Caenorhabditis elegans: one gene and its partner. The protein of the gene in region 1 interacts with the protein of each later gene in a pairwise test. Each region holds a gene or a part of one and is shown on either strand. Other genes may lie near its edges. The genes, in order: pcmd-1 and fbxa-171.

What was found.
Region 2: the proteins of pcmd-1 (region 1) and fbxa-171 interact in a two-hybrid assay, tested with the Caenorhabditis elegans proteins (one large-scale study listed by BioGRID).

What each region holds. Positions count from the first base shown.
Region 1 is NC_003279.8:11,604,245-11,614,097, reverse strand, and holds the start of pcmd-1 (PeriCentriolar MatriX Deficient), read left to right. Parts: upstream 1-2,783; 5' UTR 2,784-2,796; coding exon 2,797-2,889; intron 2,890-2,941; coding exon 2,942-3,205; intron 3,206-3,255; coding exon 3,256-3,345; intron 3,346-3,446; coding exon 3,447-3,586; intron 3,587-3,880; coding exon 3,881-4,020; intron 4,021-4,652; exon of another isoform or gene 4,653-4,783; intron 4,784-6,247; coding exon 6,248-6,448; intron 6,449-7,086; coding exon 7,087-7,191; intron 7,192-7,461; coding exon 7,462-7,660; intron 7,661-8,826; coding exon 8,827-9,487; 3' UTR 9,488-9,853. Other genes in the region: dhhc-7 (Palmitoyltransferase), read right to left, coding at 445-538, 906-1,105, 1,982-2,095, 2,280-2,392.
Region 2 is NC_003283.11:17,562,129-17,569,085, reverse strand, and holds fbxa-171 (F-box domain-containing protein), read left to right. Parts: upstream 1-3,082; coding exon 3,083-3,399; intron 3,400-3,442; coding exon 3,443-3,523; intron 3,524-3,862; coding exon 3,863-4,487; intron 4,488-5,684; coding exon 5,685-5,876; downstream 5,877-6,957.

The DNA of each region.
Region 1 (9,853 bases):
TTGGGGGTTTTGCTCGAAAATCCCGATCTCTGGTCAAAATTATTCATAAAAAAGCAATTTTTTGTCTAAAACTTTTCTTTTATGTGAATTTTCTCGGAAAATTCCCGAAATTTCATTAATTTTTACGCAAAACCCATCATTTTTGTGCCAAAATTCAGCGGCACAGCTGAAACTGGTGCTACAGTAACCCGCGGTGGGTTTTGCCACGAAGCGGGGTACTGTAGCACTAGTTTGGGCTGTGTTTATCGATTTTTCGGCTATTTTAGCTGGAAATTTGGAATTTTAAGCTCAAAAATTGGCAATTTCACATATTTTTTTTTCCACTTAAAATCCTAAACAATTAGAATTTTTCTCGAATTCTGAGGAAAAAACACAATTATACAGCTGAAACTGGTGCTACAGTAACCCCGCCGGTGGGTCTCGCCACGAAATCTGAAAACTTACAGTAAAGAGTATGCACTTGAGGCTCCCACGTAGAAAATGAATTGGAGAAACCATTTTTGATTGTATTCGCCGACGCAATTGTTCACCCAGGGGCCTAAAAATCGAAAAATTATTTTAGCGTTTTGGCACAGTTGAAATCAATGCTACAGTAACCCGCGCGGTGGGTCTCGCCACGATTTGCCCGAAAAATTCTCGATTTTTAGCGCATTTTTATCGCTAAAAAATTCAAAAAAATCTCTAAAATCCCCTTTTCACTGCTATGTCGTGGCGGGACCCAACAGGGTTACTGTAGCTTTAGCTTCAGCTGTGTCAGCGGTGAAAATCTCTAATTTTCACAGATTTCAGTCATTTTGAAGGCAAAAATGTCTATTTTAGGTGGTTTTTTTGGTGAAAATTAGTGAAAGTTTCGATTTTCAGCCGATTCGGGCTGTTTTTTTCATTTTTAGCGCCGAAAAACGAACAATGATGGTCCATTTTCCTGACACAACGCTTGCAAACTCTGCAATGATGAGCTCTCGGTGGCCTTAGAGAATCACAACGTGTACACATTGTCCACTCAGTTGCAGATGAACGATTCAGGTGATCGTGACGAAAAACGGCTTCTTCATCGGATTCATCTTCCTCATCTGATGAAAATACCGGATTCGGAGTGTTTTGGCCTCTGGAAATGCGGAAAATTCGGTGGAAAACGGTTAAAAATAACGCGCGAAAATCGATAAACACAGCTGAAACTGGGGCTACAGTAACCCGGGGTGGGTCTCGCCACGATTGGGGGTACTGTAGCACTTGTTTCAGCTGTGTTTATCGATTTTTCGGCTATTTTAGCAGAATATTAGATTTATTTTGAGTTGAAACATTTTTTTTAAGAATTCGGAGAAAAATGCGATTACACAGCTCAAACCGGAGTTACAGTAACCCGCGGTGGGTCTCACCACGATTAGGGGTACTGTAGCACTTGTTTCAGCTGTGTCAGAGCTAGAAAATAGCAATTTTTACACTTCTTTTTAACAAAAAGTTACCAGTTGGCACGTTATTTTAATGAAAACCTTTTTTTTTTAATTTCGAAAAAAATTTGCTTTTATGTCTATTTTTAGTAAAAGTTTTGTTTTTTTTTCTTGAAAATTCCACTAATGTCATCGATTTTAGTGAAAAATCGATAAACACAGCTGAAACTGGGGCTACAGTAACCCGGGGTGGGTCTCGCCACGATTGTAGGTACTGTAGCACTTGTTTCAGCTGTGTTTATCCATTTTCGGCTATTTCAGCTGAAAAATAGATTTTTTTTTGAGTTAAAAACCAAAAATTTTCGAGAAAAAATGCAATTACACAGTGGAAACTAGGGCTACAGTAACCCGAGGGTACTGTAGCACTTGTTTCAGCTGTGTCGGGACACAATATCCCTTAAAATTTCCATTTCTGAGCCAGAAAACCCGAGATTTTGATCATTTTCAGGACAAAAACCTTCGGAAAATCGAAATTTCCCATTTTTTTCCCAGTTTTCCGTCAAAATTCCCTCTTTTCGTGGTAAGACCCTCACTTTGACGAGGAAATCGGCACAGTTCCCGGGTCGGACAACATTGCTCGTGTGTGAGCTACAATCGTCGTTGCCAGCAGGCAATTGAAGACGGCTCCGTGGAAAACTGTCCAAATTCTGGAAAAAATAGCGATTTTTTGTGGAAAATTAGCGTTTTTAGCCAAAAATCAGTGACTTTTGGGGTGAATTTCGCATTTTTATTTCAATTTAATTGTGCCATGATGCTCAAACCCAGAAAAAAATGGGGGGAAATATTGGTGAAAATCCGAAAATTCGTCAATTTTTCTCCACAAAAACCTACGAGTGCCCGAAAGTTGGCAGCAAAAGCCAAATAAGAATCACATAATCCGCATATGCAATCAGTAGATAGATCATGCACACACAAACGAGCCCGCACGGATCCCATTTGAACATTTTCCGGCTCTATTCTCGGTTTAATGTGGCATTTCTGCAAAATTTCCAGATTAGTTGGGGGAAAATGTTATTAAATGTTGAAAAATCGATAATTTGAAATTCATTTTATTGATTTTTATCACAAAATTCGTTGGGTTACTGATAAAAATCAATAAACAACGATGAAAATCCGTGGAAATGATTGATAAATTAAAGGCGCATGGATTTATACGAGTGGTGGGTCTCGCAACGACGACCCCTTGGCACGTTGCCAAGTGCCGCCAAACGGCGGTTTTTTGATTTTAATTTCCGTTTTTTGTGGTTTTTCGTGGATTTTCTTTGATTTTCTTCGATTTTTCTATTCAAAAATGATTTTAAATAAAATTTCGACACTTAAAATCAATATTTTCAGCAAAAAATCCACTATGGAGGTGGAATACGACGAGGGATTCGACTCCAGTTCGCTGAAGAATAATCCCGCCTCCCTCCAGCGGGATTATCCGACTTTTATGGAATCGGTATATTGATTTTCCTTATTTTCCAGCAAAAACTCTCAATTATATCATTTAGAATTGCTCGCAAATGTCCGTAAGACAGGAATTCCTGCCAATATTCCCACAAAGACTGGATTTATGTCAGATTTCGCCGAAAAAGAGCGAAAAAAAGTCGAAAAAGAAGAAGATTCCGAGCCCGATTAAGAAGACGAATGACACTAAATTGTCAATATTAAGCGAAAAATCGGAAATTCGCTCGGAAAAACACAAAAATAAGTGTAAAAGTGCGGATTTGGACGCAATGGAGAAGAATTTTAAAGAATTACTCGAAAATTTCAGTGTACGGGGAGAAAAATGGCGTTTTTCAACCCAAAAATTTCGATTTTTCAGAAAAATGCCGCTCTCAGCAACAGTTTAAGAGATGAAGCTTCATCGATCATAAGCTCATCGGCTTCTTCACAAAAATCTCTGTTTAAAGAGGTAAAATATGTGTTTTTTTGTTGAAAATTCACTTAAAAATCGTATTTTTTGCCTAAAAACCCCTTTTTTTTTTCATAAAAAAAAAAGATTTTTCTCTTCAGATCAACCTTGCCAAGAAGCTCTCCGCGAGTTACTCGAAAAAACCCGAAAAAACTGGCGAAAAATCGAAAAATTGCACGTTTTCGGATAGTACCTTCCGTTTGAGCAGCCAAAATGACTCGGACAGTGATGATACGAGGCCGTAAGTGAAGAAAAATCGAATTTTACACGAGAAACTATTGAAAAATGCGAAAATTTATCGATTTTCCATACAAAAAAGTTGAAATCCGAGTTTTTGAACCCAAAAAATGTGAAAATTGATTAATTTTCCACTCAAAATCTGAATTTTTTCGTATTTTCACCGGAAAAGCTCCAGAAAAATTAAATTTTCAGTTTAAAATCGCTAAAAACCTTTAAAAAAATCGATAAAAAGCTATTTTTTTGCAAAATTGCTTTAGAAAACGTGAAAATCGCTGCTGAAAATGTATTTTTCCAGGCCTTCAAGTCAAGCTTCACTGGCCTTCGAAGTGGAACAAGCTCGAAATATGATGATGTCATCGGCTAAAATTCCGAAGCCTCTGAGCTCATCGACACCGCGCAAAGAACGACGAACAACTGGAACGAACAGCGATTCCAGTAATATTTTCGGCCGAAAATTCTGAAAATTGGGCTTTTTGCTCAGAAATTGCCGAAAAATCGGAGAAAACTCGAATTTTTAAGCTTAAAATTACAATTTTGAAGCCAAAATCCGTGAAAATCATCTGGAAATTTTGGCATTTTTATCCGGAAATTTCCGAAAAATCGTTGAAAAAAGCAAATTTAATGTTTTTGCCTTGAAATATCCGAAAAATAAAAAATAAAACTTGAATTTTCAGATAAAATTTTGGCAAATCTAAAAATTTTCAAGCCAAAATGTGGAAATTTTGACCTTTTTACCCGGAAAGTTCCGGAAAACAGTGAAAATTTTGAGTTTTCTCCAAAAAATTCTGAAAAAAGGAGCATTTTAAAGCTAAAACCTGGAAATTTGACCTTTTTACCTTGAAATTACCCTAAAATCGTAGAAAAAAGGCAAAATCTATAGAAAATCGCCGAAAAACCCATAGAAAACTTGAATTTCGAGCCGAAACTTGGATATAAATATGTTTTACGAGATTCTCAACGGAGCGCACTTGCTTCCAACGAAAAAAAAAACCCTAAAAACTTTGGATTTTCAGTATTTTATCAGTAGAGCGCATTTCAAAAATCCCTTTATTTCGTGGGTCCCGTCTAAGCTTCAGTCTTTAATTTAAGTTCACACTGTGAGGATTACGGTAGCTACAGTAGTAGCTACAGTAACCCTCAATTCAAATAAGATCAGTTTGTAGTAAGTTGTGTATTTCGCAGAGAACATCATTAGCCACGAGACGGGCGGTGTGGAAGGAAACTGAACACAGGCGGTGAGGTCTTGATGCCTGTGTTACTAGCCACTAGGCCACGGTGTAGGGGGTCTCTAGGTACATGCTATGCAGGTTTATGTGTTAGATGGAAAGGGTTGACAGAGTGTAATGGGGGAATTCACTGAGTAGCGACTTGTGTGACCTCAGTGTGTCTTTTTCAATGGTCTCGACACGGAAATCGATTTTTTTTTCCCAAAAAAATCAAAGTAACGAATTGTGGCATCTGTGTAGCTTTGCCCAATGAAAAGTATGAATAAATGTTGAGTTCCGCGTGAAAATCGCATTTTTCATACTTTTCATGTGCAAAAGAGCACATTTGTCACCGGAGACGGGGAACCTCTGCCCAAATTTTCATTTTAATAGTTAATTTAGTGAGATTTTTGTGAAATTATCTGAAGAGTGATAAAAATTTGGTCCAAAACTGGCAAATTTCACGAATTAGCGTTTTTGGTTAGAATTTTTGCGGAATTGTGAGCATTTTTTTTAAAGAAAAATGCAACTATTTTTGCTCGGAAAATCGAGTTTTCGGAAATTGCACTGCTATGTGGCATCTGTGTATCTTACTACAGCAATCCGTGGGTCTTGACACGAAAATCGGAAAAAAAAAATCAGAAAAACGACTTGTGACATCTGTGTTGCTTTGCCCAATGAAGAGTATGAATAAATGTTGAGTTATTCTGTGAAAATCGCGTTTTTCATACTTTTCATGTGCAAAAGTGCTCATTTGTCACCGGAGACGGGGAACCGCTGCCCAAATTTTCATTTTTTGTATCAAATTTTGATAAATTGGCAGAAAAGTGCTGAAACTTTGGTTCAAAACTAGCAAATTTCACGAATTAGCGTTTTTTTTTTTGCTAATGCTGTAAAATTTTGATAATTTTAAAAATTCATGTATATTTTTTAGAAACTGCTAGTTTTTTTTTTCGAAATTACAGGGAATCAGCTTTCAAGTTTTTTAGTCCCAATCAAAAAAGCGAAAATTTAAGCCCCATATTGATCTATTTTGATGAAAATCGGTTTTTTGAGCTCCGCGAGCCCTGAAAATGCTCGAAATTTGATTTTCACCGAAACAGGCCGATATGGCTTAAGATTTCGGATTTTTGCGGGGAATTCAAATTTTTTAGTCCCAATCAGCAAAAATCGGTAGGAAAATTGCATTTTTCGCAAGAAAATTACAAAAATTTAAGATTCTCTCGAAAAATTGATAAAAACCCAAATTTTCCAGCAATCTCCGTCATTTCGGCTGAAAAACGATATCTAAAAAAAAATTCGCGACTTGTGGCATCTGTGTAGCTTTGCCCAATGAAAATTATGAATAAATGTTGAGTTCCACGTGAAAATCGCATTTTTCATACTTTTCATGTGCAAAAGAGCACATTTGTCACCGGAGACGGGGAACCGCTGCCCAAATTTTCATTTATTTTCAGTTCGTCTCTCCGAATCACAGCTCGTGGAGCTCTACTCGAATCGAGAGCCGCGAAATTCGAAATCTGACATCACAATTCGACAATTTTTCGACGAGGAGGATGACGCTGATAAAACGATTGTCGAGCAGGTTTTCAAGGATTATCACAGGAGTTTGGAGAAGGAAACTCCGATTATGAGAAATTCGGCGACGGATACATCGGGTAGGGAGAGGAACTACAGTAATCCATGGGTCTTGGCACGAAAATCTGGAAAAAATGGAGAAAAACAACTAGAAAACGTTTATTTTCAAGTTTTTAGAATAATCGTTTTTTTTTATCCAGAACAAATCTTAAATAAAAATTAGGCAGGAACTACAGTAATCCATGGGTCTTGGCACGAAAATCTGGAAAAAATGGAGAAAAAAAAATTAAGAAACATTGATATTCAAGGTTTTTTTGAAAAATAATCGATTGAAAAAAGATTTTTCATGTTTTTCACATTTTTTTTTAATAAAAAAGTAATCCTGAAATATTTTCAAATAAAAATTAGGTAGGAACTACAGTAACCCAAGGGTCTTGTCGCGAAAGTTTGCAAAAATTTCAAAATAACGACTTGTGGCATCTGTGTAGCTTTGCTCAATGAAAAGTATGAATAAATGTTGAGTTTTTCGTGAAAATCGCATTTTTCATACTCTTCATGGGTAAAAATGCACATTTGTCACCGGAGACGGGGAACCTCTGCCCAAATTTTCATTTTTTCGAATAAATGTGGCTAATTACACTAATCCCCTCCTTTTACACCGTCCTACCCCCATAATTATAGGCTCTCGGAGCAATTAAATGCTCGGTTTTTTTTCCAGGATCTCTACATATTGAACGAAATCGTGACGGACGGTCGGCTTCGATGAGCAATCTGATTTCGAATAGTGGAAATCGTACGAATTTGACGGTTTTTGATGGATTTGGTAGGTTTTTTGGAGCTGAAAATGCTGGAAAATTGAGATTTTTCATTAAAAAATTCATTTTTCAGATGGAAATGCTGGAAAATTGATATTTTTTGTGGAAAAAATAAGTTTTTAATCGAAAAATGTAAAAATTTCGATATTTTTCATTTAAAAAAATTAATTTTTTTTTTGCAGAAAAAACTGAAAATAGATATAATTTTTTATATTTAGATATAAAATAATTTTTTCAGCTGAAAATGCTAAAAATTCCCCAAAATTCCATTTTTCCAGCTCCCGGAGCCCTCCGTCACTCGATATCCACCGTACAAATGAGCCCAACCAAAAAAAAATTCGACGAATTTCGAATTGAGCACCAAGAACCTGGCATTTTGCCAAGATTTGTCATCAAAACGTCACTGCGGCCGATTTTTTCGCCACCACTCGATATTGATGAGATTTGTGGAAAAGGACTGAGAAAAGATGCGGAAAGGTGCGAAATTCGTGCTGAAAATCGACAAAAATTGGAGTTTTTGGCTTAAAATCCGGAAATTTGTGCTCAAAATTTCGAAAAATAGTCAAAAAAAAATTCAAATTTGGAAAAATACGTTATTTTTACCCAAAAAATTGATTTTCAAGCATTTTTTCGCTTTAAAAACTTGAAAAGTGCGTTTTATGCGAGAAAAATCGATAAATTGCCGTAAAAAAGTCATTGTTGGCTTTTTAGACTGAAAAATCTAAAAATTGGGTCACAAATTTGGGAATTTCGACAAAACTACAAAAAAAATCCACTAAAAAGCGATAATTGGCTCAAAAATCGCAAAAAAAAAATGGAGAAAATGTCTGAAAATATTCGATTTCCACAATTTTGCACTGAAAATTCGAAAATTTACTAAAACTCGGTGATTGGCTCAAAAATTCACAGCTCAAAGCCAAAAAATGGGGTGCTTGGACCCAAAAATTCGAATTTTCCGCCAAAAATCCGTAATTTTAAGCTCCATATTTTTAAGCCCTATTGGTGAAAATCGATTTTTCGAGCTCCGTGAGCCCTGAAAATGCTCGAAATTCGATTTACACCGAAACAGGCCGATATGGGGCTTAAAATTCCGGATTTTTGGCGGAAAATTCGAATTTTTGGGTCCCAACACCCCATTTTTACAATTTTTTGGCTTTGAGCTGTGAATTTTGGAGCCCATCACCGAGTTTTATTAAATTTTCAAATTTTTAGTGCAAAATTGTGGAAATCGAATATTTTGAGACATTTTCTCCATTTTTTTGCTATTTTTGAGCCAATTATCAATTTCTTAGCGGATTTTTTGATAGTTTTGTTGAAATTTCCGAATTTTTGAGCCAATTTTTTGATTTTTCAGTCTGAAAAAGGCAAAAATGGCAATTTTTCGATTTTTCTCGCAAAAAAACGCACTTTTCATGTTTTTAAAGCGAAAAAATGCTTGAAAATCAATTTTTCGGGTAAAAAATAACGTATTTTCCAAAATTTGAACTTTTTGACAATTTTTTGAAATTTTGAGCACAAATTTTCGGATTTTTTAGTCCCAATCAGCGAAAATCGGGGAAAAATTGCATTTTTTGGCAAGAAAAATACGAAAATTTGCTAAAATTCTCTCGAAAAATCGATAAAAACCCCGCAATTGTTTTCAGCAATCTTCGTCATTTCGGCGGAAAAACGATATCTGCACAAATTCATGGCTCAAAACCCGTTCAGCGACGTCCCACAGTACCAAAAGCTTCAAAAACTGGCTCCGATCGTCCGACAACTGCTTCAACGGCGAAAATTGTGGAAAAACCTGAAATTCCGGTGGAAATTCCTCAAAAATTGGAAATTTCTCGGAAAATTGCGGAAAAAACTCTGAAATTGGACGATTTTCCAGTGAAAAGTTCAAATTTTTCAAATATTTCAAATTTTCAACCGCGCCGGCCACCATACTGTAGTGCCACGTCATCAGATGGCTCCGCCCATTCCTTGGCTACAGTAACCCAGCAACTCATGGGAACAGTTAAACTTTTGCATCCGGATTGGCTTGATATGCTCCGTCGACTACTGAATAATGCTCTGCCACGTGATGACGTCACTCTTTTGTTCAAATATCAAGTTTTGGCGGAAAAAGATCATTTGGAACGGAAATTTCGTGGAAATCTATCTGTGGAAGCTGAAGCTGCTGATGCTCACTTGGAGCATTTTGGGCGGATTTCGACGCTGAATCGTGTGCTCGATAGGCTCGCGGATCTCACAAATGACGGAGGACATGTGTCGAGAATTCAACAAATTAAAATTATTCATAATGCACTTTTTAAAGACTAATTTTCGCGAAAAATCGCGCCAAATTTTGAGCAAAAGCACTTTTTTCTTTTTAACTTCTTTTTAACGTAATTTTTTTTTTGGAAAAACCACCCGAAAAATTAAGATTTCAAGACTTGAAACCTTAATTTTCGAATTCTCCGTGAAATTTCCGAAATTTTAAGCCCCATATCGGCCTATTTTGGTGAAAAACGAATTTGGAGCATTTTCAGGGCTCGCGGAGCCCGAAAACTCAAATTGCTCCGAAATAGGCCGATATGGAGCTCAAAACTTTGGAAATTTTACAGAGAATTCGAATTTATCCGTTTCCAATCTCGAAAACGTCAACTTTTTTGACTTTTCTACAAAAATTTATTGAAAAATTGGTTT
Region 2 (6,957 bases), on another chromosome or scaffold:
TTTGCCTGATCTTCTTAGCGATACAGCTCGATTTAGTGAAGTTTTCTACTAAATCATCGATTTGCATAGATTTCTCGATTCGCTTGAGAGTTTTTTCGAAGTCAACGGAATATTTCCTCGTTCGGATCATGTTGAGGATACACTCGATGGATATACTTGGATAATTGAGTAATTTGTTCGAAATTCAGTGATTTCTAGGTACATCAGAGAGGAGAGAGCGGTCCGACGGGTTCTTTTTTGTGAATAGTTGAAATCAAGGAGAGTTTCAGAATAAATCTTCCGCTCATTATCGATTTTTATGCAATTTTGGTATGGATTTTTGAATAGAAATTGGATTTTAATTGATTTTTTAGGTAAAAAAAGGAATTTTGATAGAGTTTTTTGGAAAAATGGAATTTTGAAGATAGATTTTGGTATAAATTTGGTAATTTTTGATATTTTTAGACGAAATTTTTTGCATTTTTAATCGATTTTTGAACGAAAGATTACCTTTTAAACGTCGATCCTTGTCCACCGGTTCGATGCACCATGTCGAGGGCGTGTAGGATGGTAGTAGTCGGTATCGATCACGCCTCCGGTACCTCTCTCTCTCTCTCTCCGTGTGTCCCGATAAAGCATCTGAATTGTGTAAGATAAGCGGTGTATGACGAACAAAGGAATACTCAAAAACCTATTTATTATACAACCTCTCCCGTGTGGGTAGAGCAGGACTCTAAATAGGAAAAACAAGTAAAATGAGGGAAATACAGCAAAGAACATATAAGGATGATATTAGAAGTTCTTAAGATGGTGAAAAACCCTCGTCTGGCGAATATGATGGTGAAATGATGATAATGGGTCATTTAGACTGGTAATAGTTCAAACTGTTATTAAAGATATAAATCTAACGAACATGATGGTATATCTGCACGTGAGGGAAAACGATACGTGGAGATTACACCGGAATTGGTATTCAATTACGTCACAATTGACGGACATATTCGAACTCCCCGCGGGCGGTCGGTGGACTTGGCGCGATGCCAAGAAGTTAGAGACGCGTGGGTCTCGCCGCGAGCGCGCTACCATAAGGTGTTGGCGCGTGATTTGAATACGAATATTTATAGATATATTTATATCTCGGCGAATACTGAACGGATTTGAATGAAATAAAATGTAATGAAGAGATAATAATTGGAGTAATGCTCAACGGTGCGGTCGAGCTGATATAGGTTAAGAATAGTGGGCTATTCCGTAGAAACCTATATCAGAGCACTGTTAAAAAGGTTGTCGAGATTGACCTCGAAGGGCTGAATCGACAACACTAATAGAGAATATACGGTATATATAACAACTGATTGTTCCATTGTAGTAGAACTGCAGCTGTTTCTGTATTAATGTAAGAATTTTTGCTCACCTGGGAATTATTGGTGTAATTTGCATCCCCACATAATTAGTTGGTCCTCCCTAAAAAACTACGCTCTTAATTAGTAACAGTGTTTTTGCATTCAAACACAAAGATTTAAGTGATCATAATGAAGTAGAAAAGGGTTCCCAACTCTGAAATTAACAAAAACTTAATTCACTCTGCTGAAAAATTGCGAAACAACTCACGGAGATTCTGCTTTTTCTTCACATTTTTTCCATTCTCCTACTTCTAAATTTTTTTCAAGCTGATCATCCATTTTTACTAATGTTTAGTTTTTCGGATAATCTGAAAAACGAACTAAGAAAGTCGTTTCTTGCTAAATCAAAAAAATTTAAATTGGAATAAACTATTACAACGAGAAGCATTTTTTCAACGCGCTATGAGAAAACGAGTTGTCACAGCGGTTTTTTTAAAATCAATTTTATTGTTTGCGTTTTTCTGTTTGATTCTCTTTCTTAACACGGGAGATAAAAACGAAGTTGTACGACAAAGAGACTGAAGAATTGCAGAAATTCTTTTTTCATGTTCTCTGAAAAAATGATGATAAGTCGAACGAATGGAGAATGTGCGGCAAATACATACTTTTTAATGAAAAATGCAGGGAAAGTAACTCATAATATTGAATACAATTTTTAGAAAGGAGAAGATCAAAAGCCAAACTACATATGTAAAAACAAATAGACGGAACCACTTTAAAATAGTCTTTCAAAAAATAAATTGAATTGAAATCGAGAAGTAAAACCACGAAAAATACAAAAAGTCTTTACTGATTTGCCGTAGATTTGCCTGATCTTTTTGGGGTAATTTCTTCTCTTCGTATTTATATCCCTATTTGGATTGCGTGTTTTCGCCAAATACACTTGGTTTTTGATCAGAGGAGATAATATCAGTTCGTATACAACAACGCCAAGAGACTAGAGAGACTGAGGAATCAAACCAGAATTAGGTCTACCAAATTAGCAATATCAAAACTGGAACAATGTGACTTGGAAAATTAGACGAATGTGGCTAGCAATATATCACAAAAATGTTTGAAATCTTTTGTTTGTTTCAGAAAATTGTGAGAAATTTTCAAGAACGTCCATTGGGATGAAATATGCGCAAAAATGTAACTAAGATCATATTCTTACCATTTCTTATAACAATCGTCTTCCATTTTTTGGAATTTCCACTCAATGTTTGGGAAATTGGTACACCATTAATATCTGGAAAAATCTCGAAAAAGCTTGCCGGTAGGCCCATATCGCCGAAAATTTGAAAATCCTGAAAAACCCTGAGGATGGAACAGGGTGTTGTAACTATTTGAATGGGCGAGTGTCAAAGAGACGTTGGTAAAACTAATACAAACAAATTTATTTTACAGTTCATCAGCTAGAAATATATGAAGGTGGAGCAAGTAGTTGCACAGAGTTCCATTCCCCTCAGTTTGTTTCCGGATCTGCAAGGACATCTTATTTAGGCCAGTTCAAGAATGCAATTGCTGAAGGACATATAAACCCAACAAAAAAAAATGTTTTATTGCGAAACAACATGCTCGACTGTTCTCCTTTCTCTGACTAACTCTCCAGCAGTGCAAGTGCCCTCTAACTCCAATGTCAATACTGAAGAATTCGGTGAAGATATATTGCTAAGTCTAAAATTTTGATGTAATTTTTTTGCCGCGCGCATCATATCAAAATGACTTCCACCGCTCAAAAACCTTACTCCAAAACCTTCATTCGATCTTGTATTTTCTACGAAGTGCTCCAGAAAAAGACTGTGAATGAAGCCTATGAAACAATTTGCAACACCTTGAAGGAGAAGATTGCCTACAAAGAATTTGAATATTGGTTTCATAGATTTTATAATGGTAATCATGACTTGCAGGACGATAATAGGCAGATTGAAGTACGAAATTCCAATGATCTGCGTTGCTCGATCAATCCACCATCAGACGTTCCACACAAAATTTCCGAAAAAGAGTGGTGCAGGAAGTTCGTCGAATATTTTAATGGGTAAGTGCTAAGCTTCTTTACAGAAAATTTTAATGTTTTTCAGTGAGCCACAAGAACCTTCCCTGCAGAATATGCCGGAAAAAGTTTGGAATGAAATTTGTGCCAAAATGGAACTTTGCGATAGGTGAGATTTTATAAAGAAAGTATGATATTTACCGTGTGGTCATAGACTTCTATACACACCCCATGTAATTCAAAAAAGGTCCTTATGCAAAAATTGTAGCAATAAAGTAGATATGAATTATTCAGATGAGTTTTTCCATCAAAGTATTTTTTTTCATCGTCTTTTTATGAAGTTTTACAACTATAGAAACACCTTGAAATGTCTCCGAAAAAATGAATTTTGGGAAGTTTTCAAAAAACAATTAAAACAAATGTTTGACCAAAAATGTTTTTAACGATTTCTCAAATGGCATAAATTTCATCTAAAAGTCAATATGGTTTCAATCCAAAATTTTTCAAGATTCGTGGCCAGAAAAGTTTCGCGCATTCTCCGTGACAAAATTGACCAACAAGAATTTCATTTTAACGCCATGGGAATATGTTTCGAAAAAGATGAAGCAAGACTATTTTTGAACGAAAGAACCGTCAACTACTGCCCAGTACCAAACGGATGCACAATTATCTACGAGAACAGAAAAATTCAAATCAAAGGAACAGATTATCGGAAAATAGCGCTTCAAGATTTCAATACAGTAGTGACTAAAGACGCACGAACATTTTCCGTACTTTTTGAAGCACAAATGTCTGAGCAAATTCGGGAAAACATTTTCAACGATGTATTGAACGTCTTGAGATCGATGAACAAATTACGAGTCCGAAAACTAGTTTGTGAATTGAAAAACGAAGAAATCGACGCAATCCTGCCGTACTTCGAGCCTAAAACGCTCGAAGTTGTTCACTTTTTTGCCTCTTCTACAGACGGCCATAGCACAAAATTAATGGATACAGTTCAGCTGAAAAATGCAAAAGCTTTAATTTTTGACAGTGACACTTGCTCCATGAACATTGAAAAGTTCTTCCATCTAGCTTATTTTGACGTTACTGTGGATCTTTTCGCAAAAGATGATGCGATTAAAATTCGAGATGTAAGTTTTGAATGGTTCAGGGGTTAGGATTAGGCTTAGACTTAGGTTTAGGTTTAGTCTTAGGGTCAGTTCTAAGCATAATCTTATTCTAAACTCAGGCTTAGGTTTAGGCTCAGGCTTAGGCTTGGCGAGCTGACGCTTGCCAATCTAACGCTCGCCACTGACGGTATTTAGGCTCAAGAATTTCCCGTTTTTTTTTAAAATTTTTGAGAGGGTTCCAGTTGGCCGATCAACGCGAATTTTCACAGAGAGACGTATAGGTCACCAAGAAGCTTAAGTCTGAAGTTTTTGACTTAGGCTCACGCTTGAGAGTAGTATAAGTCCCACACGACACCCCCATCCCACACCAGACCCCCCTATTGACCTCTCCCAAAATGGGGTGTCCATCTATGGATGTCCATTTATGGATGGCCATCGTTTTTTATTGTTCTGTTGTATTGATCTGTTTTTTTTTTCGTTTTTTATGGAACTGTTTTTTATTAGAAAAAAATGTTGTACTGTATGGGAGAAAATCTGAAATTAAAAAAATATTTGAAATCGAGTATGTGGAATAAAATGTTTTCATTTACATTTTTGATATGTTTCATTGTGCACGCCTCCTCTCTATTACTCCGCCCCACTGCACAATCAAAAAACTCATTCTAAAGAAATTTCTTTAATAGTGCACACAGCTTTCGGATGACCTAAGTTTTCTTGCAAGCTCCATATGAAGGGCCAGGAGTTATGACTTTCAGTGTAGGGGCTTGTTGTCGTGAAAGTGTCAACTTGGATAATGATGTTCTAAATTTCTTTAGACTGACTATGAGATTTTCGATTGTGCAGTGGGGCGGAGTAATAGAGAGGAGGGGTGCACAATGAAACATATTAAAAGTGTAAATGAAAACATTTTATTCCACATACTCGATTTCAAATATTTTTTAATTTCAGATTTTCTCCCATACAGTACAACATTTTTTCCTAATAAAAAACAGTTCCATGATAAACGAAAAAAACAGATCAATAAAAAACGATGGCCATCCATAAATGGACATCCATAGATGGACACCCCATTTTGGGAGAGGTCAATAGGGGGGTCTGGTGTGGGATGGGGGTGTCGTGTGGGACTTATACTACTCTTGAGCTTAGGAGTTTAGGCTTAGGCTTAGGCATTTGCTGCAGACTTTACGCTTCAAGTATAAACAATTAACATAGTTTCAGATTTTGATGAAATCCGACACTTTCAAATATGCAAACTTCGAATCCGACGACTTCGATCCAATTGAAATTGCAAATGTATTCGTACCAGGATATCAAAGCAATCAATGGCCGATAATAAATTACACACGACACAACAAAAAATTCCTTTTGAAAATTACTCCTAATTCATTTCAAGTTAAACGGATAATATAATTTTATCGATTCGGATTTTTATAAAATAACTTTTAACTCTTTTATGTTGTAGCAATCATACATATATTTTTCAACAGTACATAAACAATACTGTTCAGCTTGTAATAGATCGAATTTGGACAATATGCTGCTCTGAGCTCCATCCAAACATTTCCTTGATTTGCTTTCGGATCTGAATATCCCAATTACTCCCTACAACCTTCACAAGACTTACAGCTCTACTAAAGCACACCAGAAGCCATGGCTGTAGAAGTGATTTCTGCCAAAGAACGAGGTTCAAGCGCATTCCTGAATTTCTAAAGTTTAACCATAGTCCAAATATCATTGTTTTTTTTATTACTCAATATCATATCTCAAATCATGATTCCCAGTTTGGAATTGATTAAACCAAAACTCAAAAGACTCAAATTCAATGACACCATTCCCAACTTTGTCGCAGAAGTTTCTATATGCCACTGTAAGCATCTTCCCGTGAAGATGCTCATAAAGGATACACGCGCGGATTGCAATTTGACTGTTTGGTATAGTTACAGCCACTTGGAATATTGGTCTTGAAATATTTGTGTTTTAAACTTATTAATTTTCAGAAGATAAGCAGTCAGAAATAATAATTGTTTTAATTGAAACGGAAATTGTGGCTATTTATGTTTTAATGAAGAAACTTCTTCTCACTCTGGAATTATTGGTGTACGATTCACGGGCATCCTTTCCGGTGAACACGACATTCCCTGAATTTTTTTTTGTTCAGCTTTAATGTTTTTCTCTCAAACCAAAATATCATTCAATGAATCATGTTTTTTGTGACTTCCAAGATATTGATTTTTCTCACTTTGAGACGAACAAAGCGTGTGGACTCTGAAACATTAAAAAAAACTAACTAATTTTGCTTGAAAATTGCAGAACAACTCACGGTGATTCAGGTGTTTTTTCACAGTTTTTCGTGGTATTTTTCCCAGAGGACTCATCCATTTTTTACAACTTCAACTATCTAAAAGAATTAACTTGTTATTGTGGACATACTGCAAAACATGCATTGCTTAAACCACGAGCAAAAATTGAAATTGAGACAATAAAAAACTGA